3 linked regions of the Lepisosteus oculatus genome follow. The protein of the gene in region 1 purifies or fractionates together with the protein of each later gene. This does not show direct contact. Links are inferred from orthologs where the notes say so. Each region holds a gene or a part of one and is shown in the gene's direction. Other genes may lie near its edges. The genes, in order: wasf2, cyfip2 and abi2b.

Region 1 (10,778 bases):
AATTTTGTCAGAAGTACAATTGCCAAGTACAGGATAGTCTGAACAGGGCTGAAGATTCTCACCCATAAACATCAATTATGCTGGGACTGCTTTGCTTAATCATGTTTTGGCAACTGGCTGTCAGCAGCACGGCTGATGCTAGCTTAATAGATGATAGCTGATAGATGATAAATAGATAAATAGACAACAAGGCATCATCTGGTATATTCTCCACATACTGACCGAGTGCAGGCTTAAAGATATTAGTGAGGTGGAGCCAGGTGCCTTAACATTACTGCTACCTGCCGTGCTAAAACTAAAATGCTTTTTTGGTGTTTGTAAGAATCAGCACTTTGGTGTATTTAAATGTTGGCTATTGCTTTTAACAAGTCAGAGCTAGCACTGTGTTAATGGATTGGTGTTATACCAAGTTGATGTTTTCTTGTGGCTTCAGCCCTCTAGTGCAAACTGGTGTAGATCCCCCCTTCTCCTATATTAAGTAGATTGTTTGGAGCAACAGTTCAGTGACTGTGTTCTCTCCCTCCCAGCATGGACCAGAAGGATGAGGAGTTTGTGTCCAGCATGGCATCACTGGGCTGTGAGGTCCATCAGTTTGATCCAGGCAGAAAGTCCCGACAGACCCAGGAACGAGTACAGCACCACCAGATGTGGTTAGACTGGCGCAATCCCAGGACGGGGCACAGAAAGGCCACACCCAGGAAACTCAGTGCCATCATGCAGATGCTGGGCCACAGAATGGTATTAAAGCCTTTTCAGGGAAAAGAGAAAACCCTATGAACAAATCAATGAAGTGTCTTCAGCCAATCAGTTTTCAATTTGGGTGGTCAGATTTTGGCATAGACACCTGATGGAACATTGAACAGCTTAAATGTGAATGACATTTTACACCATTTCATACATATACCAGCTTTAGCCCTTTAACATTCTACTCTATAGAAGGAGGGCATGATGGGTCCACAATTATAACTTGTGTGGGATCCAGACAACCCTCAGAATTAATCGTGGTTTATTGATTCCAGCCTCCAAAAGCTTCCCAGTCAACCGCCAGTAATTGTACAGTTACAAGGGAACAAACAAAGGTTTATTCCAAGCTGAAAAGAGAAGAAAGTTTCTTTTCTTCTCTTTTCAGCATGGATTAAACTTTTACTTGTTCCTTTGCAGGCTACACATGCTGACGCAGCTGCCTACCGGAACTAATTGTACACTTACGTCTGGTAAATGTCCAGATGAATTATAATAAGGAAACATCTTAACATATGCAAATGAATACGTGTGTATTATACAGTCATAAAAAAAAACCCAAAACATTTTAATTAGTGGAACCTTACCAGAAAAAAAAAGACAAATTCACAGTAAATGTGCGTCTCTCAAAGAGCTCCACCTTGTGGCAGATGAACTGAGCTTCTGTTAGCACCCATGCTTTTGGCTCAGACCACGGAAGACCTGTAGTGGTATCCAACATCCAAGCAGAGGCTTCCCAGTAGCACTCTATCACTTACTTAAAAAACAAGTGAATTAGCTGTTCAGATTGTTTCAAGTGATGGACATCAATACTGCAGTTGTGCAACTGTACATATAGTATTTACAGTAGTTCAGGTGGGTAGTTGTGTCAGCACGCGTAGGCTGCAAAGGAACAAGGAATAGGTTTATTCCATGCTAAAAAGAGAAGAAAGAAAACAACGTTTCGGCCGTGGAGCCTTCTTCAGGTGACACGACTGAAACGTTGTGTTTTCTTTCTTCTCTTTTCAGCATGGAATAAACCTATTACTTGTTCCTTTATAGTATTTACAGTTTGTTATGTCTGAATGTTGCTTTTGCAAGGCATTCATAAGTGGACAGGATATTACGCGCCAGCCCGTGAAAGTTTCTCCGTGTGTCTGTAGAAAACTGGTTCAGTTCATGTCAGCAGCTTTTATGTGTCGTGCTTCATCTACGCAACACAGGTCAAAAAGAATATGCCCGATAAGTGTGCTGTGTATCAGCACAGAAATTCATCAGCTCCTTTCGCCCTTCCTGATGTTCAAAAGTCTCCCACCTGCTCTGCGCAAGGCCGCAAGCAGAGCACTCTCTCTGTAAGAATATCCCAGCATGAATGTTTTGTGTGGGATTTTAGGGCTCAGGGAGGTTATGGTCTTCACATCCTGCTCCCTGGGGCGAACAGAGACTCTGCATTTGTAAAGAAAGCCCAGGCTGGTGCAAAGACAGAATTCTGGCATTGCAGCAGAGAGACACTGTGTCTCCTAGAGGGTGCTGTTGTAGTGCAGTCTTCTTCAGCAACTTGTTGTGTATACCTGGAGACTAAGTGGAAGGTCAACCACTTTGTCATTGCTGTCCGAAAATATATATGTTCATCCTATTTTTCACATGTTTATTTCCTATCCACATGTGTGCTCTTTCCATCTCTTGCATCACATTCCTACGCTCTCTCTCTCTTTTCGGATCAGGTGGAGATTGTCCAAGCGGACCTGGAGAGCGCCGAGTGGAGGATTGTGGAGAGCTGGGTTCTGGATGGCACCCTCACGCAGATCCAGCAGCTGGTTCTGACAGTGCACTTACAGTGGGCCGGGTTTGAGGTGGGGGGCAGCGACGCAGAGGTTGTGCGGTTCTGGTACAGCCTGATGAAGGAGCTGCACACAAGCGGGTATCGCCTGCTGCACAGTGCCAGGGGGCCTGGCCAGGCCATACTGCACCATGCGCTGCCCAATGCCAGCAGCAGCTACATGCTGAGCTGGGTCAACACGAGGTGGAGCTATTAAGCACACGTTGTTCTCCAGCGCAGTGCTTCCTAATCCTGGTCTGGCAGGAACAGTGTCTTTGGAGTTTTCCTTCAAACAAGTTCTTACTCACAGGCTTTTTGGTTTAATTTAAAGTTATACTTGAGAAATGCAAAATGCATGTTTAGGGGCTGAAAAACAGCCAGAAACTTTGAATTAATCCTATTAGGAAGTCAAATAAAGGTTTGATTGCATGATTGCAAGAGCTTGCCTGGTGTTGGGCCACTGGGACCAGGACTGGGAACCCCTGCCATAGGCCTCTATGTGCTTTGGATAGATTTTGGGACATGTGATTTAACATGTAGATCAAGGGCTGCACCTCCGTCAAAATGCACATTGTCTCTCCAGAATGGTGAAGAGGCAACACTGACTGGAGTCAGTGCTGAGTGGATCAGTGAACCTTAATTTTGATTCGTGATTAATTAGCATATGATCAACAGCCACTTTTACATAATGGCAAAGAAAGAACCACAAAATAAACAATTAAAGTATTTAAATAAGAAATGCTACAACAACTAAAAGAACAATCAAAATCAATACTTTATTTTTACACATTATTTCAAATGGTTTTTAAAACAATTTACATACAGTCTATAAAAACGCTACAAATATTTGCACACAGGCATTTTCATTGCTTTATCACAACCATATCACAGTTCTATACTGCAGAATAGAAAACAATCTAAACATTTAGTGACTACCTACTGCTTATCTATTTTGTCATTGTACCAAAATCTGGTATTGCACTGTGAGAATAAAGGAACATACAAGGGTATATACTTATATGTTTTGCACAAGCTGGTGACCCCTGATTCAAAGTTTTAAGTGTTTAAGACCGGAAGTGAAACTGTTTCAAATTAGGAACTGTGAAGTAAATCGAAGGATACAGTCTCCTGTGTCATGTTTTAATAAAACTACTGGAAATATTGTAAAAGGGTACTATGGAGAAATATGGCTATATCCCATTCAAGCTGTTTTAATTTTCATATTTACATTTGGTGACAAGCACTCATGACGAGTGAAGGCGCTAAAGGCAATAGAAAGTTGACAACGTGGACACTAAGAATTTGTTCTGCTTCCAGGTTGTTCTCACTTCCGACCAGTGTATCCTAAACCTTAATATTGTGATATTTAGACAATGTAAAGCTTTGTTGCTTAAGTAATGTAATTGGAGATGTGTAATCTAGATGCCCTCTACTGGTAATAGATTAAAAAGGAAATGGGACTTGTTTTCTGGTACTGTAAACTCGGACAGGAATCCCCTGCTTAATGGAAGACATCGCTTGCCGTCGGGAAAAAAAAGCTCTAATTTTTTAAAACTTTGTGCGTTGTTGTTGTTTTTTTGTTGTTGTTGTTCTTTTCTGTCTTTGGCACCTTTTGTGTAAGTTTTTTTGTATATTACTTGGGAAATAAAAAAAAAACATGATTATAAAGTCTTAGCAAGATGTCCGTTCAGGGTTCAGTCTGCTGTCGCTTTAGTTTTTCTGAGGTTCCTCATGTTCGCCGAAGTCGACGTGGACGTGGGAGTCTTCCTCGGGGAAGGACCGCGAGGGAATAAAAATGTCCATGATCGCTGAAGCCTCTGAGGAGGAATAAACACTCATAAAGGAAACACGACAACGAGGAGGGAACACCCTAGCCTGCGAGCAGGGAGCACACAAACACACAACCCTTACGCGTTGCAGCACAGAGAAGCAAGCACAGTGTGAGACGTACAGTACTGTAGGAAGACACAAATCCCAAGCTAAACTAGAAACATAGGATTGATACAAACTTGTCTGCAAAAGCGTTACATTGTCTTCAAGCCTTTCGACCAGTGACACTCACTCCTGCGCCCAGGGGGCTGCAGTCACCCAGGTAATTACAGGTAACGCAAAATCATCAATGACTCAAGTCCTGGAAACAGTGAGAATGCGGAGCAATTTAGAGAAGAACTGATTCACATAAAATAATCTGAAGTCCAGAGTGGAATGACCTTTATCTTTTAAAACAATATTGTTCTGTGATTGAATTAGGGATTGATAAAATGACATTGTATAACATCCGAGTTCTTGTTTCATGCATTCTTGACACAGTAGACAAACTGTTCTGTAACAGTTTATTTTTTTGTTATTAATGTAAGTAGGATTTTTTGTTTACTAATTCTTGGACCATGAAACATCAGGTTTATTCCTCATATTATACAGCAGTACCATGTAATGGACTATGTGCACGAAAACCTCTTTTCAAGAACACACAATAAGGCCCTCCCAAATTAAACACGTCATCACGTGATTGATGGGTACAATTATTAAACAAAAAGCTGAATTAAAGATTCTTCTTAACATTTTTAAAAACGTTATAATATTGGGCAGGATAGCCAGTCAGTAAATCGCTGTTGTTCGTGAACAGCTGCAAAAGAGCACGGAGACAAGTAATGCTGATTTTAAAAGACGGTCTATCAGCCAAGACCGATTAAGTCACGTTTGCATTTGATTACAGTGATGCAAATATTACGTGACATCATTATAACACACTACGCAGGCATATACTGTAGGTTTCCGTGTCCCCGACGGGCACTCCCTCAGAAGTCGTTCATTGCGTCAGACCGGGCTGAGGAATGCACAACGCCTCCTCAGAAATACAGAACTCAGAGAAAACGCGATACAGGGCAACGATCTCCTCCCATTCAATGCTATTAACGCACGTCTTCGTGAACTGACCCCCAAAAAGCTAAATTACATGGACGCTTCAGTCCATCATTATCTTCCCCCGAATCCTCTTCGATCGAAGCCGGTAAAACCCTACAGATGTTTACTCCTCTCTCGGGTGGAGTTACGCATTTTACGTCCAAGTTTTCATGGTCCTCCTTGAACTGAAACTGACGTGAGTGAGAGCGAATCAATTCCCAGTATCCTCGCCGCGGTCCAATCACAAGTATGCGTAGGCGGGGCCTTGGCGTAGTTCTGCTTAATCGGTTTTACAGTTGAAGCAGCTATCAAATCTAGACATTTTCTTTTTAGGAAAACTTCAAGCGAGTTGAGATGATGGCTGGTAAAAGCCTTATGTGAGAGCAGAAAGGATCGTTTTCTCGGACCCTCTTTTCCTTTACGGTATGAGTGCTACGTTTTTAAATACTTTCTGGTATGGGGGAGTTATGAGTAAAAAGACAATGTTGCTTCGTGTCTGCAACATTGTGTCGGTAGTCTACTGTAGTTGCTTGAGTTTAATTATGGGTGGTTTCACTTTACTTCCTGCTAAATTGGGAGCCATGAAGTTGACAAGAAACCCTTCGAAAAAGTGTTTTTAGTGATCCGCGGGACGAAGAAAGACAATTCAGTGATGTGGAAAGAAAATAAAGTTGTTAAAATCCGGGATTACGTAGATCGTATGAAGTATCACTGACGATAAAACCACACATTTAATTTTCGCAGCTCACTGCGGCATCGAACTGCCTTATAAAAATGCGATTTACTTGCAGCGATTCGTTTTACTGATTGAGTTGAATGTTCTTTACGATATGTGAAACGTAAAAGAAAACTTTTCTGAAAGAAACGGTGTCTGAACTTTGAATGAGGCAATGGTTCAAAAAAGGAAACCGTGATAGGCCTTGATAACTATCCTGGAAGTGTTTAATAAGTAGACTTCACTTTAGTGGATACCTACGAAGCCCACTGTAGTGCGAGGTACAGGTGATTTATCCGTTACCTATGCACTATATTGTCATTAGGAATAATAATTTTATTTGTATTTTTTTTATTCGCTTTGAAATTTTTGGATACATCCCCCTTTACCTGACGAAGATAAATCCCAACACAGAAAATAGTCCGTTATAACGACCAAATTAGAAATTGATAAGTACTGCCTGGTAAACACAATTTGTGTTTTGCTCCGTTGAAGATTACAAAGCCTACTACAGTACTGGAGACTAATGGTTGATTACTCGAAAGGGGAAGGTTTATGAACAATTTCAATAGACATTGGCGTAAAACTCGTAATTCATGTGGGTTTTCTGAGAGTGAGGATAATCATTGTTCTTGTACACTCCGGGCCAGGGTTTAATAGTGATTAGAAACACAATAATCGAAAAGAAGACCGAAAAGCTAGCCTGACAATACCATGTGCTATTTAAGTAAGCGGATGAGTTGTTTTGACTTGCTGTGAAAAAGGATTAAATGCTTTTAAGACTAAACTATCCAGAACCCAAGCAGGGAAAGCTGCAATAATAACTAATACAAATTCTGAAGTGTTTTTGACAAGTAATTATAGATGTGATGTCTTACTGCTTTTACTACTGCAGAGGTCTCCAGTCCCATCCCTGTAATGCTGAAGCATCCTGTGGTTGTCACTCCTTCCCAGCTGTCACGATAATAAACCAATTGTTGGTGCAATTAGTCAATGCAAGTGTGATATTTACTTGCTAAATGTGGACTCCTGTAAACACATACTGGATTTCTCACAGGGGGGTTCTTTCAACCAAATATTTCTGGGACCCCCTAGCAGGAACGCTGAAACTCTGAGCAACCCTGCAGAGGATCCCCAGAAATCGAAGGAACTTTTCAATCCAAGCAGTGCCTAAAAATCAAAACTCTTCAGCACAGTACAGTGTTTGTCCACCGTCAACATATATCTGTGGATCTGCAGATCTATTTATTTTTATATAATGAATACCGGCCCTGGGCAGCCTGTTGCTGCTGTGGCCAGTATTGCCATGGGGCCCTGGGTTCGGGCCCTGGGGTGCTGTCCGTGTGAGTTTGTAGGTCCTCCGTGTCTTGGTGTGGGTATCCTCACACAGTCCAGAGACATGGTGTTTGGTCACCTGGCTCCTGGGAACAGTGGCTCTGGTAGGAGTGTGTGCATGTCTGTTTGGGGCTGTGTGTTCCCCGGGATGGACTGATGTCCCGTTCAGAGTGCGCCCTGCCTTGTGTCCGCTGCTTGTTGGGATAGGCACTCGCTCTCCCCTCGTGACCCTGAATTGCATGCAGCAATCAGAAAATAGCTAGTAGGACAATATTGGCATTATAATAAAATTGACACCTCCCATTCATTTTGTGTTTAGATATGCCAACATTTTCTTGAAAAGAGGTTATTGTGCACAGAGCCCATTGTGGGGTACTCCTATAGGATGTTACCTCTGAATAAAACTGTAGTAACATGGTTTATAGTTTATTATAGAACTAACTTTTCTATTTTTAAAATTTGTTGCTAAATGGTTAATCTTTTTTTATGTGCATGAAATGTCGATTCTTTGAATTTCTGTCCTGAAAATGGGTATGTGTATTAGAATAGATTGGCTGTGAAATGCAAGTGGCAGCTGTAGGCAGCCATCCTATGCTCATCTATGCAGCTTTATAATAATTTGGATAATTACAAGTTAAGGTCTGCTGTGGTGTTAGTGGGTTTTAGTAAAGATAGGTAAATATTTGCCGGCCCTAGTGATAGAAACACCAGTGACTAATCTGATCGACCTCGGGGAGCCACTAGACCAGCTTGAGCAGGATGTGACTTGTATTCCACCAGGTTTTGAAATTCTTGCAGCCCAGTCCTTTCCCATTCTTCCAGCAGGATTGCCTTGTCTTGAAGTGTGGGGCTGAACTGCACCTTTTCACAGGCTCCACCGGTTTTCAGCAAGACTGTGAGAAGGTGAACAAAGTCTGTCTTAATCTCCTCAAGCCAGCCAGGCAAATGCCTGAGACGAGCTCTTTCATTTGCCGGTAGATGGTACCTGATAGCATGAATCAATATGTTAATGTGGTACCCCACCTGATGTCACATATTTCTGTCTTTCCTAGTTTGTGTTTAGGAAGTTTCAATTTTAGGGTCCCAGCTAGGATGGCAAATGTTTAGCAGCTGGTTCTTCTCTGATTTCATTTTGGAAATGGCAGCATGTGTACATGGCTGATCTCCCACATTGTTTTCATTTTCCAGTTTTATATACAGTCTACAGGCCTCAGCATAGGCAGATTCCAGATGAGGAAATCTTTATAATATTCATCCACCAGTATTAGAAGCCTCTTATTCCTGTTGAGGGTCCTGTGATAACCTGGAGCCAGTCTTGAACGAATAGGTCAAAAGGCAGGACCATACCAAAGGCAGGAATCCAGTCCATCACAAGGCACACGCGTCCATGTCCAAGCACAAGGGTACAATTCGGAGATCCCAGTTAACCTCACTAATACAGTATGTCTTTGGAAGATTGGGTGCTCTGGTTTCTACCTAAGACTAACCCATGTGGTCACAGGGTGAGCATGCAAACGTCACAATAATGACATCCCAGTCTAGCCAGGACCCAAGAGCCATGAAGCAGCTGTGCTTACTGCCACCCTCAATAATAATATCAGCTTAAAATATTAATTGTACTGACGCTAGTTTCTATGGTTTTAAAGTGAGAATGTGCATACATTTGTTTTCCGTTAGATATAAATATCATCTTGTCTTTGCAAGCTACAAGAGGGGTTTAAGGCAGGAAAGGCTCTAGTTTTATCCCACTTTTGTTACCAAATACAAAATTGCACCTGAAGTCATTAAGTTGGACACTGATACTGTATATACAAAGACATATGCAGCACATTGAAATGCGTAGCATACCCTGTATCTTTAGAGCGGTTTACATGAGTATTGTCACCCCTTATTTGAACTCTGTTGTAACGTGAAAGGGTGAAGTAGTGTTCAACTTTGAAAATGCACCATTGATTAAATTATTATAATGTGTTTAATAAGAAATGTATTCATTCAGATGGTAGTTTCAAAGAGCCATTGCCTCTCTCTGTAAAAGAGTGTACAGTATGTGCATGCAGCACTGGAGTAAAATGCGAGGCCCGTGCCTTTAAAAATCCTTTTTTTTTTTTTAGACGTTCCAGTTGCTTGTTTTTTTTACCATTTGCTGGCCTGGGGCAGCTGGAGCTGCAGTGCTGGCAGAAAGGCTGCAGAAGGAGTTATGGCGGCGCTAGGGTTGAACAGCTGCCTTCACAAGTGTGAGCAGAATCAGAGTGACTCAGTGTGACAGAGTCTGCAACGTGTGGGGAACTGGTGAACGCGTCCCTATTTGACTCACTCCGTCACACGCCCACCTGATGACCAGCCCACAGCACGAGTGCCTCCTGACGAGGCGCCTGTTGGGCAAATCAGTTAGGCGCACTTCACAGATAATTATAGTGCAGGCCTGATGTATGTTTCCACATGATGGAGATATTTTCTCATTTTTCCATTTCCTTGTGAGCAAGACATTTATTACAAAAGTAACAGAATATATTTAAGTATTCACCAGAATAATAAACATCTTTTACAGAGCTACACATAATGAGTCTTTGGAATGGTTTTAGTTTAGGAGGAGCTGAAGTGTATTTACGAGGAAGGATTTGTGAGTTGATATTCTTATATACCAGGATGTAGTAGTCAGGATTGTCCAGTCTTGGAACTAAATGGAAATTACTGTTAGAATGAAAATAAGATATGTAGCTGAGAAGGACAAAGAATTGAAACCTGTAAGCTTCAGAAAGAGAATTCCTTTATGTGCTGTACAGATTAATCAGGCCATTAAAATGGCCTCCATGTCACTTAGGCTGTCTCGGTAAACAAGGCTCCAAAGACAAGCAAGGCTAACAGCTTGTTCACACCTAAGCCGTGTAGAGCTGTGCACACTGATGTACCGCTGAGCTGACATGAAGCTGCAGTCATGCAGTCATGCTGTTTCTGTACCATCACCTTGGAAGGTGAGGGCTGTAGCCGTTTGGATGCTTTACATAAATGCACAGTTTATTCTGTGTAACTGAGTTAATTTTTAGTGATAGTTCAATGTCGAGATTGAGTGATCTACTGTACAACAACATTTCCTACCAGTTTAGATCCTTAAATTGTTTGTCTGAGTATTATAAATTGCTTATTTTCTTAATGATAAATTGTGTACACTATTTTCCCATGTGATCCTTGGTAAGTTTTATCATATGTTTAGCCCTGTTGCTTTGTTGCAGTTACTTTGAAAACGGCTTTTAAAGGAGTGCTTCAGGCTAATTTTCAGGAAGTGGA
Region 2 (11,658 bases), about 22 Mb from region 1:
ACAATGACTGATTGAGGTTCCCGTTTTTTTCAGCACTAGTATGTGACATATGGTGTTAAAGTATTTCTGAAATGGAATCTTTGCAGTGTATAGCTTAAGATTTTTTTTTCTCCTAGGTTTGTCCTGGATGACCAGTACACCAGTTCCTATGGCTCTAAGTTTCCAGTGAAGTGGTCAGCCCCTGAGGTAATCCAATACTGCAAATTCAGCAGCAAATCAGACGTGTGGTCCTTTGGTAAGTAATGAAGCGGAGTGAGATAGTTATTCTTCATGTGGTGACCTGGTATAGCATTGTATAGCACCACCTGACATACACAGGACAGCCACTGGATGAGTTTGTTCTAATGAATAAAATAATGCTATGAAGTGAAAAGTGGTATGGTGTGGAGTGTTTCCTGTCTCACAGTTTTAGGGTCCTGGGTTCAATTTCAATTTAAGGCGCCTATATTCTGCTCTTCCTGTGATTGGGGGGGATTTTTCTGGGTGCTCCGGTTTCTTCCCTGCTCCCGGTGACAAATGTATTAGGTTTGATTAGCTACTTAGTCACATTTATCTAGTTTAGGCAAGGATTCGAAGGGGAATTCAGCAGTTTCCTCGCAGTACAGTACGTTACTGGATATGAGGTTACTGGTAAACACAGTCACATGAGGTTGATACAGTAGGTCAGATAGCCTCCTCTTATTTGTGATATGTCAATAAAATACAAAAGTATGTCAGAATGTGGCTGCTGACAGCAGTAAGCCCTGGGAAGATAAAGTAAGAGAGTATGCAATCAATATCAGAATGCATTAGACTTAACGCCACATGTGAAGAGAGGGTTTCATTGCGTAGAAAGTCAGGCAGAAATGATGGTTCCTGAAAATACGACATGTGTCTCAGTGTGGGCTTCACACGGAAGTTGAGAAAAGCCTTAACTAACTGTAAGTTTTCAAGATGTATATAAACTCAGATATATACTCTTTCTTCACCTCTGTTATTAGTGAGGCTGTTAATGTTGCCACAGCAAATGACTTCAAACTCACAATGAAGGCTAAGGCTTGAAGCTCTCTGGCGTGCAGAAATGTACTGTATGATGCGCTTGTCCGTCTTTTTGTAAAGTCAGTAAGAATGTAAAGAATTAAAGGGTCTCGTCGGCTTTGCGTTGCTGCAGGGGTCCTCATGTGGGAGGTGTACAGTGAGGGCAAGATGCCATACGAGAACCAGTCAAACGGAGAGGTAGTAGCTTCAATTTCATCTGGCCTCCGACTTCTTAAACCCAGACTCGCTTCAGAGGACATTTATCAGCTGATGGAGTGGAGCTGGAAAGAGGTCAGTGCAACAAGGAGCCAAGTAAATGAACTGAAAATCAAATCTAACACACATATGCTTATACAGTATACCTAAATTCTGCTTTAATAATACGTTTTCATATGTTTGTTTTAATTTCAAACCTCTGCATCAAGGCTTAGAGCGCACATGAATCAAGGGAGAGTTACTTTCACACCACTAGTTATGGCAACTGACGCAACAAAGCTGGATAGTTTTCTTTTTCGAGCAAATAAAATCAGCAATTTTGTGGTGCAGAGACTAAGCTGTGAAAAAAGAAAAGATTCACAACACAACAAAGAGTTTTTCATTTTACCTATACTGTTATTGTTGGGATAGAAGAAGTTCTCCTGATGCAAACTTTTTAAACATTTTTTTTTCATGTTTTTGTTTAATTCTCTCCTTAGAAACCAGAAGACCGCCCATCTTTTGCAATTCTCTTCCATCAGCTGGCAGAAATTGCTGATTTCTGAAATTAAGCTGTTGGAAGCCCAGATGAAATGGACATAAACTGTATAAAGAAAAGAATATATATATATTTATACTGTATTTATTGCTTTTTCAGATACCAAAATTTACATTGCAGTAGCATACAAAAGCAGAAAAGCTACAAGGCTCTTAGACAAGGCCTTAACAAAAATGGTTCAGGTGGGGAGCTGCGTCAGCATGCGTAGGCTGCAAAGGAACAAGTAAAGATTCATTTGAAGAAGGTCCACAGCCGAAACGTTGATTCTTTTCTTCTCTTTTCAGCATGGATTAAACCTTTACCTGTTCCTTGACAGAAATTGTCACATGGTTGCTTAATAAATACCATCCTGCATTTGTGTTCTTTACAATATAATTTAACAGTAATCTTTTTCAGAATCGACCATGGGACTTTTTATGGCTATCATGACAAGCTATCCAGTCATGTTGTTTAGGCCAATATCCTGGTTTCATTCAAGGAATGGCTGGATGACATCCCCAATCAATTAACTACTAATTAACAATTGGTAGTTTGATAATTAACTACTTTTGGTATCAAATGGGCTGAATGTCTCCCTATTGTTTATAACCTTCCTTACATCTTTGTTACTTGCTTGTACAAATTCAGTTCTGAGAAATATTTTAATCCTGACATCTTGTATTTTAATTACATTTTTCCTATAGTTAATTATGATTTCCATAAACACCTACTCTTACAAACAGTGCAGCTTTAACAACTATAAAGCTAAGAGCCAGGTTTAAATTCTCAGTCAGATGGTTACTCTGGCCTGCTGGTCCACAGCCTACAACAGCTGCAGGTTCGTTTTGCTCAGAGTAGGAGCTCCCAGCCTTGGTCCCGGAGATCCACACATCTGCTGATTTGAGTGCTCCAGCTGAGCAATCAGTTGAACCCCTTAACAGACCAAATTATAGGTGTATAAATGTGACTTCTTTAGTTGTTTTGAATTGTTAAACATGTAGGAGGTTGCCTTTTAATGATTGTGTTTCAAATGGAACTTAAGGTATCAAACCTTTCAGTCCAGAAAACATAGTTACAACGGTAACAACCAGGACAGTCACTGGTTCAGTTAAGGATTTATCTGGTGTGTGAGGTGCAGGACTGGGGATTTTCCATTCCTGTGTTGGTCAGTCCCATCATTGCCTAGCTTCTAATCAGGCTACAAAGTGGTACACTGACAGATAATGTCACACTAACACTTGTACAGATGCTTACACACTGATAGACCCTCAAACCTTTACAACGGCACACTGCTGTGATGACAGATAATCTCACACTGACACTCTTACACTCACTCTATTGATCATCCATTATTTTTATTACATTATTTTTTTAGTTATTTTTAGATACTATCAGAAATCTGCATATTTCTGGTATAGGTAAAGGTTGCGGTAACCTGCAGCCTAACACAGACAGACAGCGTACAAGGCAGAACTACACTCTAGATGGGAGTCCAGTCCATCGGGACTCACAGAAGGACCATGTAGAGCACCAGTTAAACAGGCCTTTGGGAGGCAGGAGGAACAGAGGGGGGAAATCTGAATTGCCTGTTGTGCTAACCATTAGCGTTGCGAGCATTTGTCTGTTCATATGAAAGAGTGACATCTATTGGCAGTAATTGATTTTCTTGTGAATGTGATTGTTCAGTCTGTGCGAGATTCTTTAGCTCTCACAACTATTCCAAGAGTGTAAAAAGGTTAGCTTTGTTAATGTATTCAAAGGTTTTTGTTTTTATTACTTTAATTCCATTAAGGAGGAAACAATGGCTTAGTTGCATTCGTTGCTATGTGCAATTTTAAAATCCTATTTTTTTAATCCGTATATTACCTTCTTCATGTATTGAATGCTCCTTCTAATTTATCTGAAAGCACTACTTTCTGTATAACATTCAATTGTCTCCTTATCTGTAAAAAGAATAAGAAATATTTTTTCTATATCAACCCAGTCATGCAGCTTATTTGAACACGATAATACAGTATAACACACACTTTAATATTTTACATTTTAGTAGTTATCTTTACTTATTGGTCTATAAGTACCTTGATTTTGTAAGTAAACAATTAAAAAATGGAATGTATTACATTTTTCTCCTTGTGTTTGTGTCAGAAGTTGCTGTGAAGTCCAGTTACTAAAAAAACACAACTGTAACAGTAATAATGGGTAATGTTTCTTTTTAAACTGTTAACACCATAAGATAAGTAACAGTAAATCATTGTGTGCAATGGAAGATGGGGCACAATGAGATCTGGAGAAACGCAAACACTAAAAAATATTCCAGTCTTTACATTTAGAGAGTAGAACTGCAGTGGCCCTTCCAAACTTCTTGTTTTGGAACTAAAGGAAGCAATTAGGTAAGAGGCATGATTTATAAGGCAGTTTTGTATTCCTAATATTTTTTCCACTGTCCTGTTCAAAAGAGAACAAAGGTTTGTGAGAAAGGGAAACCCTAAAGTGTCTTAAGAGTTACCTCTAAAAAAGCTAAATGTTTTCACCTTATTTTCTCCCTCACTTAAAAATAATAGGCCCAGTGGGTGGGCTTGTCATAGTTGATACAGTTCAGAGGAGCAGAGTGAGACACACATGTTGTATAGGTTTGTACCCTGTGCTAGTTTTTGTTATATGCAATTCAAAGGATGCTCACTATTATTAACCACTAAAATAATTGTGCCTGAAATCAATACATTATAATTCTCTTAAATCTATAACCAAGGATGATCTACTTCAATAATTGTTCTAAGAATAAATTGCAGCTCCAGTATATAACATTTTTATCCAAAGCATCTTGCATATTATCACATATTAAAGATTTCGCAAGTTAATCAGTATTGCAGTACCGCCATTCTTTCGATAAAATCAACTTAGTGTAGTACAATTGTTCTTTTACAACTGTGGACCTAAATAACAAGATATCTAATCTACTTACCATGATTTGGTCAGAGACAAAATACATGTTCATGTATGAAAAGTTTTATTCTTATCTGAGCATTGCTTCACATTTCCCTGTAAATGTCTGATGCTTTAATGTCCCAGAGGTGGTACAGTATGTCTCACTGTGTCCTGCCTGACGTATCATTACATTAGGCGGGGCACCAAAAAGGGTGAGGCTCAGTGAGACAGCTTTCAAAAATTGCTTATATCTTCTGTTATACCCTCTGTTTATAGTGTTGTATTGTTATATTGTCCATGGTTACGGTTGATATGCCAAAAAGGAGTGATTATGAGAGAAATCACTTTAAAGTTTCTGGTTTCTATAAACACAACAGACACTTGTGTCTCAGTGTACCACCACTCTCCTCTGTGTTTTGTTAACGGATACTGAGATTGATTTGTGGCATGTCTAGAAATTATTTTTTTACCCGACTTGATATATTTCAGACACTACAATTTAACTGTGACCCACCTGCACAAGGACAGCCACACGAGATAAGGGAAGGATGGGGGAAGGAAAATGTTAATTTCACATCTTGTATATCCATATTTAGGAAAATAAATGTTATCTGAAGTTCATAACAATGGTACAGGACACACTCCATTTTCCACTGATCACTGACTGTAAGGTATAATAGGCCTTTAAGTCACTATTTCATAGTGTTTGTCACAATATCACCTATTGGTATCCATCCCTCCTAGTGCCACTGCCAATGTAGAAAACATCTGGTTTATAATATAGCGGGTCTCATACATTTATCCACGTGGATGTCTCAAGCAGGTTTAAGCCTAGCCGTACCAATAAATGTTCCACACTCCCATTATTGGGGTTTGTGTGTTTCTTTGAATTAAGGGTTTTACTATACATAATTCAGTATGAGAATTAAAACAAACTCAACTCTTAGAATTACATTGATCTTGTCATGGTTTCTTTATGTTCTATATATCAAATCTGGGTTCATCTTAGAACGGTATCGTTGAGCTACAGTATTTATAAGAGGTTCGGTTTAGTACTTTTTTGTGTTTGTTCAACCCAAGTATTTGCATTCTGCAGATACCAGTTACAGTACTTACCCGTTTTCGAAGACCAGTAGACATGGAAGTCAGTTGTTCTCTTTAAGTTTCGTTTTTTATCTTCTACTGTTCTGTTTTTCGTGTTATGCTTTTAAACTAAGAACTTTTTATTCTTTTTTTATCTTCGCACGTTTCTTGTTCAACACTCCAGGACAACCCTGACATGAATATGCTCGATACAAAAAAAAAAAAACTGGTTTAATTTTTTTTGGCCATGTAATAACCGAAATAGTCTCCATCATGCAGTATTATACTGTATGGTTTGAAACCCCGCTTCCAAGTGAAAGAGGAATAACTTCTGTAAATTATGTACACATCAGTGTCATTTGCACAATTTGATGGTTTTATCATTCAAGTGCTGCCGTTGGAATAAACTCAATGCAGATTTCAGTCTGGGTTATGGTTCAGTTACCATGAATTGGCTTGCTGATTGATATTGTAACGCATACGGCTACAATATTAATATTAATTTGTATATAGCTACAGTTTATAAAATAACGCGAGCTTTCTATGTTGAGGGGAAGGGCAGATTAAATGCATCAACAACTGGACTGAGAACATTAAATGAAAAAAAAATACTCTTCCAACCTGCACATTCATCCACTAAATATAGCTAACGCGAACCGCTTCGGAGCCGAGCAGTGATGTGACTGCTGCTGTGTTGACTGTCATGTAGCTTTAAGGAAACACATTTGCAGCCATTTTCTGCTCTTTGTGTTTCGGGGATTAGCGGATGAGCATTCTGCCAGGCAAGAGCATCACTGAGACATCACCACTTTAAAACACAGGTCTGAGGCGTAAATGCGAACCGTTCCGTCAGCATCGCCAAAAAGGGTCATGCGAGCATCAGGTAAGATTTAATTCTTTATCATCAATATTGTTCAAACGCGATGAGAGAGATGGCACAGACCTGCCAATGGGTTTAGTGCAGTTACATGATGCTGTATGCTACCACAGGCTTTGCTATTTAGATAATTGTAATATATGAGAAAAAATTGTGGACATTTTTTGCAGGTGACTAAATCTATGGATAAGTATAAATATTTTTTCCTTACTATCCTTTAGGTATTCTAGAAGATTTTTCTCTCGAACGTGATAATGCATAAGCCTCAGCTACCATTCGAGTATTTTTTAATTGGGTGGGGTGAACTGTGTCTATGTGTGCTACTCGGTATTGTAATTCCTGTATGTCTTACTTGATATCGGATGTGTGCATTACTTTTCACGAATGACGGGTTTTCAGAAAAATATAGATTATGGGTTTTTTTTCTAAATGATGAAAAATACATAACATCTCTATATTCATGTCGCGATCCTTATCTACAGTTTAAACCTGCATTCACTCAAATTTGGTGTCTGTTATTGTTTTCAATACATTTTGAAGTGATGGACCTGGGCTTTATTTTATTTTTAATTTTGTGTCGCTTTACACGACGTGTCTCTTTAAATCCACCTGAATACCCAGAGCTGGATGTCGCGGTTCTGATAGGATCTCTGTGGTGTCATGCAGGCAGCTTGCAATAGCCAGGCCTCGTATAGTTATTTTTTTCTGCAATCGAAAAACTAGAGCAAATATGCAAATTAAGAATAATAATATTCATGAAGCATGGTCTCTCATTTTCTATTATTACCTGGTTTCAACTGGTTGATTTGTTTCTGTTGCAGTCACTCTGCCTGAACATTAAGAAATACTTTGTATCTCCTCAAACGCTACGTGACGCCCTGTTCTCAGTAATTCAAGTACTGTAGCTACACGATCCCTAGTCTAGACCTGAATAATGCATAATATCAAACCTTGGGCACGTACATTAAATAACGTATAACTGAGTGAAAATGTTATGTTGTCATTCAGCCATTTGCACAACCAAATCCAAATATGTTGTAACCAGGAGCTTGGTAATCCGGTACGCAATGACTTCAAAGAAAAAAAAAACGTTTTTTATCATTTTTATGACAGCAGAAACTCTTTGCTAAAAATTTGTTTATAAAATTAAAAAAAATGATGCAAACATTTAGATGAGTTACATTTGTATAGAATTAATTTTAAAAAAACTTGTTAAGGAAAAATGTGTTAGACAGTGGTAGGGCTCTATTACACCTTATAATATATCATAGAAAGCATTACATAGTCTGTTGTAAAAATGATAAGTGCTTTAAGATAAGCTTTTTAAAAGCTTTCTTTGTTGCATCAAATTGACTTACACCTTCTCCTAAATGGTGTTTTACTTCTGCCATTGTGTGGAAAGTTTGCTGTTTTGTGGCCAGGAACATTTCTCCTGAACTGTTTTGGTCACAAGTCAGATCCTTGTTGTATGTACAGTATGAACTACCAAAATGCAACTTCGAAGTCTGTAACTTCCTACTGTACCTGCTAACTTGGTGCAAAGCTTGACAGGAACTGCTTGATGCAATGGTTCTGAAGTCATACCATTGTTCTTTTCCTATTGTATGTACTGTATGTGGTGTTCATGTGTGTCTCATTAAGAATGTATCCCAGGGAACCGGGGAACAGGAACCAAGGGGGAAATTATTTCCCATCACAATCATTGCCTAGTTAAACTATCAAGGAGACTTGGCAATAAAGCACGGGACTATCCAGCAGTGATATAACACTTAAATAAGCAGGACCCCAAATTTACAGACAGCTCTAGAACACAACTGATGTGTTTTATTTTGGCATAATCACAAGTTATTGTTTGTAGACCCAGGTAATTCAGCAGTCCTGGGAACAGATACCATCCTCTTACATCAGTTCCTCGTTTGAATGTGTTCTCGCATGCACACAAGAGAAATCTGACAAACCTCTGCTTAGGACTTAGAGGTATCATGGTTTTTGCTTCTATTTGCAACAGAACGCAAACTGTAGAGTGTGTATGTCTAACCCTGGGCGTGGAGAGCCTCAGTCCAGCCGGGTTTATAACCAACAAGTTAATCTGCAGTTTCTAAAGGTTGAGAGCACTTTTGTTTCAGGTGTGAGTATCACATGCCCATGTCTTTACTTTTGACATGAGAACAAACAGATAAGGTGAGTTCTCAGTGTTTGAGGGAGAATTAAAGCTTTATTAGCGTCCAGTATAAACAAGATAAAAGTTGTCTGCAAAGTATGACATTTCAGACCAAATTAAGGGCAACATTCAATTAAACCTAAAGTGCGTTTAGCTCAGAGATTGTTGGCTTTCTAAGCCAAGTGGGATTTCTGTCCCCTAAATTTTCTTTGGAAGGACTGAGAACTCTTCAAACCCTTTGCCAAGTTCAGGTCTTGCCACTGTTGGGAAACTATACTATAGTGTCTTATAGGAGTTAGTGCGGATTTGAGGAGCAACACATCTCCTGGATACTTACTTTATAAACCCAGATGGGAGATTTGCACTGTAGGCAGATAAAAAAGGCAATCACAATACATAGTACTTTTAAAACAACATGAGTCCATTAACAAATTAAAAACATACACGCCATAAGATTAAAAAATAGAAGCAATCCTCACTGTCCAAAATAGGTACATAAAACATTGGACAATCTGTGAGTGAAATAGATACCGTACCTCAGTAAGATACAAACATGATGGAAATAAAACGTAACAATCCATTGCTTTGTGTGAATTGAGCAGGTTCGTAGTTGTGGGAATGAAAAATCTAAAATGAAAGAATGAAAGAACATTTGCACTTAAATCTAGGCAGTCTAAATCGACAGAGGGAGTTAGGATTTACTGTACTAGGTCAATCAGTGACTAAATTGGCTTTCCACACTTCTTTTTTAGTATAGATGCCTGACAGCTAGAAGCTGTTGTACGCTGATACCTTTGCTGGCTACCTTCACTAGGTAATCACATGGTCCATCGCTGAACCACCAACATCTACACTCTTAAACAAGAAGCTTTACTGTTTGAGCTACTCGGGAGTTCTCTTCTTTTGTACGGTTTTGTCTGGTTCTGTGAAAGTACTGGATTATACTGTAAGTGTGGATGAAAACTTTTCTTTCTTCAGTGAGCCAGCTTAAGTCTTCTAGCTCTGTTAGTGTTTCCAGTCTCAGCAGTCTTTGTTAGTCATTCATCTGAGTTTTCAGTAGATACACACCTAGGAGGATCAATATAATTACTACATTTTTATCTGTTCAGCTCTCAAGCTGCTGATATAGATGGCTGTTGCGCTTTTATACTGGGTGTTCCCTTGCATTTATCTACATTTTTGAACTGGGCAATCCATGTTGTAGGATGACAAAGATTTTGCTGTTACAGGTGTTATTAATGTTATTCTCAGCAATACTGTGAGGCTCTTAGCCAGGTGCTCAGTTATCTAAACTCGTTTGGTGAAATGTTTTTTTGACTGCCTGTGGCATGAGCAAATGTATGTGCTTTAGTGTTTGCAGTTACAGAGTTTGCAAGTAAAGTTAAGAAGAGCAAACCATGTACTGGAAACTGCTTTATGTTGGGGGTGGCACAGTGCAGAGGGTAAGCTTTTGGACTCGTAACTGACACATTGTGTGTTCAACTCACCACTGGAGATGCTGCTGTACCTCTGAGTGGCTGAGGTCTGGTCAGATGAGGTTCAGGTATGAACTTTAACTCCCTTTCACATATAGAGTATATACCCATTTGGAGGTAATGTACTAAAAATGTCCATGTGTTCAGGGCTTGAGAAAATTGTGTTATGCTGATAAAAAGGCTACAGTTTATTTCCTGTGAGGCAGTGCATAACTGTAGCATAATTCTATCAATATTCAAAAAGGAAATAGTTTTTTTCAGTATCTTCTGTGCAGCCAACCAGAAAAAGAATAACTATTGTATCACTCTGAATAAAGGCTCACATTCCTACTGTACCTCAACTGACAACAGTGACGTGTATTACTGAAAATCCAAGAAGTACAGTGGCATAGCACTGAGGTTTGTTTTAGCGCTATTTCTATCCTGTGTGATGGTGGATTGTAGTAGTAAGTCAGTTGTTAAGTTTTATCAAAATTGTAACAATTATTTCACGACTCCTGTGACGACAAGTTTCACACGTCTCAACAAATAGGGTGTAAGGAATCTGAATGAGTTGACTTCATTGCTGTTCCTTTTACAGCTGCAAGTTGAATGTGTTTGAATATTAAAAGGGGAAGTTTTTAAAGCAAGAAAAAGACAGAAGAATAAGTAAAAGTGCTGAATGTAGGCTAGCTATTTTTATGTCAGATAATGTAGTTTGTTCTGGTTTTTGAGATTTGTATTGTTGACATTTAATTCATTTTAAAAGTCATTTAGACTTTCCAAACTCTATAATCCTTGATAAAGTATTACACAATATGTAAAACATAGTATTATATAATACAATATATTTTAAAGTTATGATGAATCTGTAAATGACCAGTGTTGTTCAATTTCACGTGTTCTGTTGACTCAGCAAATTTGTAATGGCTAAGAGACAGTTGTTTCTAAAAGTGCATTTGGATTTTTAAAGATCTAATGTTTCAGTAATAGCTGGCTCATCACCATGCTGAAATCGTTTGCTCATTGACATGCGGACCTCGCATGCACGAATAATGTGCACCAATGGAATGCCAAAAGGAAGGGTTTCGCGTTCCTCCTTTTTGTGAGTGTGGCAGTGTGGGAAAGTTTACACAAGCTTTACTGAATGTGCATTTCCAGAGAAAAACACCGGGCTAAGCGGTGTCTTTCTGAGAGCATTCATAGTCCCTGCAAAGCAGAGTTCTCGGGCTCCTGTGATCTTGAATACAGCAAGCTGTGAGGGGTAAGGATTTTGGTGCAGGTTGCTGGAGCTTCTTGGTTATTCTCTGCTCATGTCCTCATCAGAGGCAGTGTCACAAGGGAGAAGAGCCTTTTAGAGCTACTTTAGAGCGAATGCATGACATTATCCATGGTGCTGAATACTGTA
Region 3 (10,615 bases), on another chromosome or scaffold:
TTTTGAAAATGGCATGAAATTTTTCAAGATATCATTGCCAACTGCCATGTTTATTGCAGTGTCTTTAAAAGTGCAATATACTGTAGTAAATACTTCCTGATGCATGTTTCTGCACACATTTATAGAAACATTTTCTGGGAACATTGTGAAAGAGCTCAAGTTTGGTTTTCATACATGTTTCACAAATGAAAGAAATCTACTTCACTTCGCTTAAGTGCTGCAAGGGAAACTGTACAACAGTTAAATGAACAACTGATTCGATCTCCATTCTAGAGGCACAGAGAGTGAGTGTCACCTCCTTTTTTTGGAATGATGTATGATAACTCCCTTCTTCCGGTGTGAAATGGATGGAACAATAAGCACCGAATGTCAGCGAATGCTGATAAATAAGTTGTGAATTTGCTTCCAGTTGGAGAAGGAAATCTTTTTTAAAAGGTCGACCATTGTGGCTTGTGCTGTGTTTATAAAATAAAAATGTCCTGTCCGTACACACAATAAAAACATATAACTGTTACAGCAGCCCAAACCAACTTACATGTGAGAATGACTCAGAAATGGTAAAAATAAGGAAATGATTCCTACTATGTGGTGGGCTTCATCCTCCTCTGTGCTCCAAATGAGGGTTAATGCCATCACATTGAAATGGTGCTTTGTCATTCCATTTGCTTGTCACATTTTTTATTCATTACAGACCACATAGCAATGACTAACAATGTGTCAGCAGGGAAACGGCATCTGTTTACTCCACCAACACTACCAAGCGCTTCCCAGGTAAACTTGAAGTGACAAGCTTTCAGCCTTTTTATCAATATGAATGAAATATTTAACTATGTGACACATGAAGATTGTTTTCCAGTCATTTCATGGTCCAGCAACAAATTCCCCATAGTCTTCAAGGATAATTAGCACATAGTTACCATATTCTCTTAGTAAGTGTTCTGCCAATAATTCTTTCTTGGTTACCCTCAGATGTTTGATTTTTCTATTACTTTTTCAGGCAAATTAAATCCGCAAAACATTTTTTTTTCAGATCTCTCCAATAAAATGGATACTGAGAAGCTTGGTAAATTTTGAATTAGTGTGTCAAATGGACAGATGCAGTAGCTAATTGAGAAAAAGAGATGATACAGTATATGTGTAGAATTGTCCCCCAGGCACAGAGCCGTGAAAATCTACTGACTGTGTATACCTCTCCTTACCTTATCTATGAACTCAGCAACATCAAAGCAGTTCTCTCTCAACAAACAACTGTGCGATGAAATGAAATGTACCTCTTGGCAGTATCCGTTAGGGTGCTGGAACACTACATTCTGATTGTAGAGAATTAATGGAGCAGAAAAAAAGATGGTGTCACTGGAAAAAATAAAACTGCATCTTCATGTGTGTGCTTTAGGTGATAGTTTGATGCATTTGTGAAAGCTAAGAAAAACACTAAAACAGAAATAAAATGCTGTTGCTAATGGGAGAGTTTGACACATGAGGTCTCCACTACTACCATATGATTAGTTTATAATTATGTTATAATTATTTTACTACTAATATTATTATTAGTTTAGACTGATAAACGTGGTTTAACTCAGATAACCAGACATTGCTTGTTAAGTATTCACTCATTTTACACTGGGACACCCCATTTACATCTCATTTATTAATACCCCTGTACTTCTGTAGTACCACAAGAAGTCTCATGGTTGCCTCAGGAAGGTGTACAGGAAAGAACTATTTGCCATTTGTGTGCTGTGAAAACTCACACGTGTGAATGCTCACATGACACTGGGAGACCCTAAGCTTCTCCATTTGTGCATCAAACCAAGGACATCCAACCAAAGAGGCATTCAGCCAGTGTGCACAGCTGTTTGGGATCAGCCTAGGAACAGTGGTGCACACTGTCTCTATGTCTATGCATCACTCTGGTCCAAAGAGACAGCATTGTCTGGTAAGTGTTGTAGCAGACCCTAATGCCAGTATTAATTAATCTCTAATTAAAATGCAAACAAAAATGCAATGTTGAATAATTAAAATTAACTTTAAAGCAGAACTTTAGGTCCAAATATCACTGTAGCTGAGAGAATGCTCATTTTACAAACAGATGGGCTTGGGGAGGAAGTCTTTTGTTTCTGTGAGTTAACCCAGGATCCTTCGATACAGACAAGCTGTCCCTGTAGCTACTCCTGGAGCTACCCATTGCCCCAGGAAAAACCACCAGTGTAAAATGAAGCAGTAAATGCCACTTAATTAAAATTTAATCCATACAGCACTGCATATTAATTTAATGTTAAATGAGACATTCATGCCTTCAAATAATATTTAACTAAAACCAATAGTCATTTTAATAAGAGAGTGTAAACAATGACAAATGTGACCATATACAGTATAAAAAAGTGATTACATGTCTGAGTTTCTTTATATTCTACTAAGAGTCAGCTTAGGGCCAAGTGTTAACAAAATTCACTTTTCCTGACAAATGCATGTTGTGTCTTTTATGTTAGTTGTTTATGTTGTAGTGAAAGGAATAAAGCACGATTTAACATTTATTTTCTGGAATGTCCAGAGAAGAGCATCCAGGTGGATTAACAGACTTGGCACTGGCTAAAGCAATGAGTTTTTTGTTTGAATGTTTGAACAGAGAATAATGTGCCTGATCCTGGTCCCAGTTTTCACAATCCTCAAAAGAAGTGACAAACTCAACCCACTGGACTTGTGAAACATAAATCGGAGGACCCAGCACAAGTTAAAACTCTGTGGGAGTGCATTGAAAACTGACAAAAAGAGGCTGTTCTTTGCACAAAGGGCTGTTGGAGTATGGAACGAGCAAATGTAAGTGTGAGTTCACAGCAATCCTTTATTTTTCAGATGCGAAGGCCAGGTTTATTAACCATGTTAAGTTGCTGAGACAGAGTCAGTGATTCCGAAATGTGTTCTTGGTAGGTTCATTGGAAACTGACTGGAGCAAGGTAGTTAAAAGCAGCTTGCTAATTATTAAAGAATTAACTAATTTAACACTGTCTCATCAATTTATAGGCCATAAGCCAATTGGAAAGAATACATTTTTAGAAGAGAGGCCTGAGAGTCCCTTATTTTTATATTTTGATGACCATACAGCAGTTCTTGTACCTAAAGAGACATAGGCTAAATGTCCCTTTGTCTGATTAAAATAAGACCTTTTTTATTTGCAGAGGAAAAGTGTCTCTTTAGCTCTGGGCTGCAAAAATGCAGTTTTCCTTGTCCAGGTTTTTAAAGTGAAAACCAAAAAAGCAATTCAGTTGCACACTCCCTCCATGACTTTAGCTTATATTTACTCCCTTTTTATGTTCTTTTGTCTTATTCGAAACTACATTTTTTTTGCAGACAGGAGGAATGCTACAGATGAGATGCGGAATCTGATTAGATGCCACACGAAAACCTGCCTGTCTACATAATCAGAAGAGTGAGCTGGTGTCCTGTATTACTTTAAATAAAATTGAGAAAAGTAAAACAGAAATAAGTCATTTTAAGCTAAACTTTAAGCTTCTTCAAACCAACCTTGAAGTCGAATGCAAGCTTATTCTCCATAATAGTAAGGCAGAAAAGTTCTGAGACATTTTCCTAAGAAAACAGCAGAGTCGGAGAATGTTTGTTAGACATGAATCTGGACACAACTGAAATGGCCTCAAATTTGATTTGTCTAAAACTGTATTTAGCAGTCAGCAAAAGGGAATATGGCATTTGGTTCTCAGCAATGAAGACTTGACTGTAAACTAATTCTGCCAAATTACCTGAAGAACAGTTTGAGCATTTCTATTTTTTTGCAATCCAAAGACAACAGATGAAACTCCACAATTTTCCAGCAACAGTTCATACCTGAAAAAAAAAACGGATTATTTTTTTTAATTGTTTGCAGAAGATCATATTTCTGATTTTCCACAACGGCTGTTTCTGTGATGCTACGTGTAAATCGAAATAGTACCTCTGTACTTTTTTCACTGTGCTTAAACCAAAAATTGCCGGGTATACAGATTTTCTTATACAGTTTATTCGGTTTTAAATTCTGATATTATAGTTTATAGTGTAAGTAAAGCCACAGAAAGAATGTAGCATGAAGGGCTTAAAACTGTGAGGAAAGTACGAATGGATGTCAACAAAAGAAGCAGCTCCCTCTACTGGTCCTCCAGCATTATTAGGCAATGATTATCAAAATACTCAACCGTGCTCATATAATAATAATAATAATTGCTTACACTTATATAGCGCTTTTCTGGACACTCCACTCAAAGCGCTTTACAGGTAATGGGGACTCCCCTCGACCACCACCATTCATAGACCTACCTGTATCATCTTAGTAAACGTTTCCATCAATGTATCACCAATTAGTTTTAATAAAGCAACTAAACTAGGAGAAATGTATCAGCTTTTCTAGCACTATTCTATTTTCACCTTAACCTTTGATTTGCATCAACAAAAAGGCTGATAGTGTAACGAAAGGAGTCAAGCCTCTCCAAGCAACACACACCTTTCATTTTCTCAGCCAGCTTCAACACAATAAATTGTTCTGAGGTGTGTGAGTGCTTAAATCCTGTGTTAAACATGCCAGGACATGCTTATTTGGAAAAGGCATTGACTCAAGGTGTGACTCATGTTGCTCTAGATAACCCCTATGACATTAAAGATTAATTGGTGCACAGTAATGACAGCATACAACATACTGTGCTATCTCTTGCACAAGTGGCTGAATGAAAGATGGGAAAGAAACATTCATCTCTTAAAACTACCAAAACGCATCTTCATCAATGAAACCAGAATTTAAAGGATAAGGTCCACATTTTGACCTCCAAATACTATGACCCCTTATTCATATTGCCTTAGGCTGCCGGTAATCATGGCTTCTCGTTCTCTTTAGTTTTGTAAGTTATTTCTAATGAAGAAGGGGAAGATACAATACTAGGAACAGTTATTGATAACTGGGTCTACAACAGGCAATTTTTTTTACAACATCCCACAAAAGATTGGACTAGCTGATAAAGCCAGATTAGGCTTCAATGTGCATCTACAGTATGCTACTGCAGGGCCACACATTCTCAGTTAAAACCATAAATGAATGATAAAAATGATGTACGTACAACTGTTGCCATCTTTCAACAGCCAAGGCTTTGAATTGCAATGAACAAATGCAAAGTTATTCAAAAGCTTCTGCGAATATAACGCTGGAACGGGGTATGATAATATGTTTCGTTCCAGTTTCCTCCAAACAGTTATAAACCTCTAAGAAATGTGAAGATAAATGACACAAAATCATTGAGTACAACGGTGATTGTGATTTGTGTGTCTCTATTAGGATGGGTAGCAAAAACACCACTTTTTATTAGCGTCTTAAAACCTCTGTGGATGCAAACCTATTTATATTTCACGTCATTTAACAGGTGACAGCACACACTTAAGTGTCAAACTTCCTGACATCGTTCTCCTCGCTCCCTCCCAAAAAACCTTCTCCAGTTGAGTAACTACACCTTTCCCACATCGGAGGAGAGGAAGTTGTATGCCTCCCTGCTTCCTGTGTTGCCAGCGCTTCAGTGTGTTAAAGATGTAAAGATGGCGGAGCTACAGATGCTTTTGGAAGAAGAAATTCCGGCAGGACGGAGAGCTTTGCTCGATAGTTACACCAACCTCGAAAGAGTCGCAGATTACTGCGAAAACAACTACATACAGGTAAGTTGGAGTGGGTTTTCGGTAAACGGGCTGGCGTTGAGAGGCGAGCGACCTGTCTCGGGTTGGAAAAGGCTGTGGAAAACGAGAGGAGGGATATTGCTGATGCTCTCATGTTGTGCTCCCCTTTGCGATGTTTTGCTCAAGTCCAGATTACAGCTCTTTCCTTTGCTGCAGAGGTTTTTGGACCCATTCGGTGTGTTTGCATTGACATATGTTCAGTTTCCAGGAATGCGGGTGTAGTTTGAGGAATGTAGTGCTTGTGGTGAAGACGTGTGGTAAGTGTGTATGGATGCGTACGGTGGGGGTTGAACATTTGAAACGGACTGGGAATGATTCAGTAAGTTGTAACACGATAAAGTAAAAACTGATATAAATCAGAACGTTAAATATCTAGATTCGTATAGATTTTGGAGGAAAAAAAACTCCCCTATTAGGAAGCATATGCCAGATGCAGGGATATACAGGGAGCGTCAGTATCAGCGTAAACCTGTAAAAATGTCTCTTTAAATAGTTTTTTTAAAGTTCAAATTGAAATCAATAAAGATCAAAAAGTGCATAGCTACTGGAACATTTTTTTTTTCTGCCGAGTTATGTGTGCATGGCGGCACGGTGTTATTTAATAAACAGGTTTGTCATCTGTCAATCATGGCTTGCTTGATGCGGTGGTGTGTTATTTTCTAGGAGGGTGTCTTGGAATAAACTGCCAGCATGCAGGATGTAGAAGATCATACTATAGGTTTAAAGAGTGGCAGCCCCAGCCTTGCATTTCAAACGCACGCAGCACAGAAAAGAAATAACTTGGTTTCGCTGCATTTTGCAAAGAGATATCGCGTCCGTTTTGGTGGAACGGAGAGTTTAAAACAACCCAGTGCATCTGATCATGATTACAGTCCGGTGATTAATACATTGAAGCCGAAATCTGTGACTAGCCAGACCATTTTTGACCCCCCACTTGCGGGTGATGAGAAACAAATGGGGATTTTAGACGTTTATTTTGCTCCGGAGTTGATCATCTGTGCCTTTGAAGTTGCGATATTGTGATGTCGGCGACGCTTGCGAGCTGTTTCGAGTTGCGGTAGATGTATTTTTTAAAAATTTACTGTAGTAGTAGTAGCAGCAGCAGCAGCATCTTTAAAAAAATTGCCATCGATGAGGTCAGCTGCTACATAATCAAATACCTCTTGCCTCCTGGTGTTTGCCGCGATGGTCGCTAATTGAAAACTATAAATATAAATCAACCGAGGGTTCACTTTTCGGTGACCTGAACGCACTAGAATAAAACGTTCTCAGCCCGAATCAAGTATTTATGCCAACTGTATTTATGTTACATTGTTTTTTATTTCTGTCGAATTAAGGGGTTGACCTCTCTGACACAAAATGCCCTCGGGGTCTTGCTCGACAGCATTACACAAATTCGTCGGATTTTAGAAAAGCTAATCTGATGTCTTTTTGAAGAACATTTTAATGTGATTGCTGGTGAGCTAAGCATATTAATCGGGTCCCGGCTGTGATTGGTTTTTAAGGTGACTGAGCAGTATCAATAATTTGTTTTCCCCCGGGAATATGGGTTGTGACGCAACGGCGTGTCAGAAAACCCACACGTATCGGTTGATATACAAAATACGTCTATTAAAAATATCAAGTATCGTATTTGATTGTGCATGCACAATCGCGCGTGCTAGATTTTTCTCGTTTTCTTTCAAGGGTTAATTTCCAACAGGAAGGATTTCAGATTGTGCATAAATGCATGAAGGGGTTATACGCTTTTCAGTTTTTACACATAAATGTGAATTGTAATGGTTATTCGACGAGGGACGCGGTTTCATTATCTTGATATTGAACACTTTGGGTTCTGTGTCTGTATTTACATGGTTATAGGCGAGTCTTGGCTCTAATGAACACAATTTAAAGTTAATTTGATAATAATCCACAATTTTACTCCTTTTTATCAGCCCCAGTTTCTAAACAGCAATATGACTTTCTCCCCTATGTTACTTAACTTTAACGTTAAAATACCACTCCAGTAATGTGTGTGGTTAATTAAGGTAAATGGACGCTTTAACATCATTGTTTGGGTAGACGGGAAATTTTAAAAGGCAGTTTGCCACAAAGCCCCCATGATTTCGCTTTAGTTCTTGCGTTTCGTTTGTGATTTTGTTGCTGGAGACAGGACCCTCAAAATTGTCATTTTTCCCTGAAACCAAAGAGGGACTGGTTCAAAACTCATAGCTGCCTTTACCCATGGCTGAGTGCTTTATCTGGATGCAAGGGTACAAAGCAATGTCCACAGCTTAATCTCCTGTGTCTTGAACCTCCTTCTCTGCCATCCTGAAAATAGCCCATTTGAACTTTTTTTTGTCCCTTTCTCCTCAAGGGACTTGTGTTATCAAGGAATGTGGAAGCTATTCCGAAGGTTGATTCCCGATTTGCACCGGAGTCAGAAGTGCTGAAGGGTCTGTCGTGGGCAACGTTGAATTAAGCGCTCGTGAGAGAATGTGATCTTAAAACAGTTGGTCCCGTGTGCCATAATTTACAGCGATTTGTGTTTTGTAATAAAGGGAGGATGTGTTTCTTTTCTCAGCATTGTAGCGGGGGTTTGTGTAATGTTGGGCAAAAGACAAAAATATGTAGACACAAAGCATCCCATTATGGTATTTATATACAGATTGTAGATGTGGCATGTATATAATTTTCCTTGTGAGGTAAGCTTCGTAGGATGGAACATCTGTCTGTTTCAGTTTCTTTAGTCTCTGTGGGGAAATTGCTGGGAAGGTTGGACATGACACAGGCTGTGCACATGAATGTTCATGAGTCAGGAGTCTGCCGTGTAGGAACATGGAGCTCGGAGGTGACCCTTTTTTCCCCGAGACAGGGCCGTCATTTTCAAATTGAGTATAACTCTGAAAACAATTACAAAGAAAATACCGACTCGAAATTCATTTTAAGGACTGCTGAAAAGAGGAGCTGCTGACATTGCTTGTGAGAAAGCCTTGGTTTTCATCTGGAGGCATTTTGCGTGTGGCATCTTGGTGTGTGGTGTGTAAATATCAGTAATTAATAGATAGCTTCATTAAACATTTGCCTTTCTCTGGGTTCTTAAATTCAGTGTTACAGTGGCTTTGTTTTTCAGGATCTGCATCAACACTTCTCTGTTTCATGAATTGAAGAAATGCCAGACTTAGGACAGTTGGTGCTGCATTAATACCCTAACGTAGGGTCCACTTACAGTCCTTTCTGGCTGAAATTCCTATTTCCTGGGTTTAAAGGTAGTTAAATATCTATAATCTATATGTGGCAAATAATGGAAATCACAACCCCGTATTCAGCTTCATCAGCTTTGGCAGTTATTTTTTTGTAGAGCGTGCAGACTTCTTACCTTGCCTTAAGATGTCCATAACTGGTTAATACTTTCCAATATCCACACTTTCAAGTTAAGGGTTTATTACCTATCAAGAGAAATACAGCTGAATATTGGGGGTGAAAATAATTCTCTTTTGTTCATTGAAAAGACATCTCACCACACATGGTGTTTCTTGGCAAGAACACTGAAACAAATGTAACATGGTCTCTGAGATTTTTTGAGGGAGGTTGTAGTACTGATAGAGGAGTATAGGATGTATGTTTTTTAGTATTTGTCTAACACTGATAAATTAGCCAAAGCTTAGAGTCATCTCTTACCGTCAGCATAGGGCTTACTTAAATTTGGAGACGGGACCTATCGGTAGTCATGTTTTGATTTGCATTAAGAGGCACACACGGTTCTGTTTAATATTCCGCGTACCTCACACATGTACCCTGGTCTTGAAGATCACAATCTCTAGCTGTTGGTTTTGTGCAAAGAATTATTTCAAAGAGAGACACCTGTGTGAAATCCAATTTTGCTTTAGTTGGCGCTGTCTTTTTTTTTTAAACGAGAAAATTCCGGTTCTCATTAACTTCAGCCCAGAGAGCGCTGAGCTTTGCATTTGGCGAGACGTCCTAAACAATACAGGATCCAGATTAAAGCCCTGGGTTAAGCACGCAGACTCTCAGCTCCGTTGTGCACAGGTGTCAGCTCTGTCTGCTCTCCCCTCTTCCCCCTCAGTCAGTCAATCGGCTTTGCACACCACTAAGCGGCACAGCAGTTGTAATAAGTGCAGCTACAGTAGTGCTGACTGAATATCTGTAGGGACAGTGCAGCTTCTCCTGTTCGGAGCTGGTGGCAGCCAGTGTGAAGGCTCCACTGGCCTGTGACGCATCTCAGGTTTTTTTTAAGTTGGATGTTTTTTAACTCGTTGTTGGTGTTGCTGTTCTCTGGTGATGTTTTTGGTGTTTCCTTAATGTCTCTGGATTGGAGCAGACAGGCAAATAAACGTTTCATTGCACACGTGCGTACGACAATACACTGAACTGGCGTCAGGAGCTTCGGTGTCTCAGCGTTTCTTTTCCCGTGCTGGAGACGTTCAGGGTTTTAAAATCCAAATGATGGGCTTCTGCGCCACAGGGTTTCCTCTGTGACTCCTCATAGACCTCATCCCAAGGGAGGCGGTTCTGTGCCATGGCCTTGTCTAGCTGTATCCTGTCAGCAAGCATTGGCAAGAGAGTCTCATACTGATTCCTACAGGAAAAAAAAAAAACTTCATCTGCTGGTGTGCTTATCTGAGCTGTAATTGCCTGTAATACTCGCCTTTAGTAATTGCTAGCAGGTGATTGCCAATCATTTCTTTCATTTCATCTGTTTTATTTTTCTACCTGCCCTCTCTCCCTCACGCTTGAAGAAAGATCTGTGGCCCGTACATCGCTTCTTTTCTTTACCTTCCAGTAGGGCTGGGCGATAATTCGATAACGATAATTATCGTGATATAATTTTAACAAAAGTTCGATATATGTTTGTGCTTTGCGCATGCGCACAAAATTCTGCGCGAGGGCAGCTAACGTGGTGGTGTTTACCCTG

Evidence for each region.
Region 2: the proteins of wasf2 (region 1) and cyfip2 purify together in Homo sapiens (co-immunoprecipitation; 3 studies listed by BioGRID and IntAct, with this or other methods). This does not show direct contact. The link is inferred for Lepisosteus oculatus from reciprocal best matches to the Homo sapiens genes WASF2 and CYFIP2.
Region 3: the proteins of wasf2 (region 1) and abi2b purify together in Homo sapiens (affinity purification with mass spectrometry; 3 studies listed by BioGRID and IntAct, counting the BioPlex papers as one, with this or other methods). This does not show direct contact. The link is inferred for Lepisosteus oculatus from reciprocal best matches to the Homo sapiens genes WASF2 and ABI2.

What each region holds. Positions count from the first base shown.
Region 1 is NC_090706.1:8,896,973-8,907,750, forward strand, and holds the start of wasf2 (actin-binding protein WASF2), read left to right. Parts: upstream 1-5,706; 5' UTR 5,707-5,866; intron 5,867-10,778. Other genes in the region: probable methyltransferase-like protein 24, read left to right, coding at 528-738, 2,445-2,756. UniProt on the Homo sapiens protein: Downstream effector molecule involved in the transmission of signals from tyrosine kinase receptors and small GTPases to the actin cytoskeleton. Promotes formation of actin filaments. Part of the WAVE complex that regulates lamellipodia formation.
Region 2 is NC_090706.1:30,453,657-30,465,314, forward strand, and holds the start of cyfip2 (cytoplasmic FMR1-interacting protein 2), read left to right. Parts: upstream 1-6,715; 5' UTR 6,716-6,805; intron 6,806-11,362; exon of another isoform or gene 11,363-11,514; intron 11,515-11,658. Other genes in the region: itk (tyrosine-protein kinase ITK/TSK), read left to right, coding at 117-235, 1,151-1,308, 1,713-1,778. UniProt on the Homo sapiens protein: Involved in T-cell adhesion and p53/TP53-dependent induction of apoptosis. Does not bind RNA. As component of the WAVE1 complex, required for BDNF-NTRK2 endocytic trafficking and signaling from early endosomes.
Region 3 is NC_090707.1:35,004,078-35,014,692, forward strand, and holds the start of abi2b (abl interactor 2), read left to right. Parts: upstream 1-5,444; 5' UTR 5,445-5,565; coding exon 5,566-5,682; intron 5,683-5,784; exon of another isoform or gene 5,785-5,957; intron 5,958-10,615. UniProt on the Homo sapiens protein: Regulator of actin cytoskeleton dynamics underlying cell motility and adhesion. Functions as a component of the WAVE complex, which activates actin nucleating machinery Arp2/3 to drive lamellipodia formation.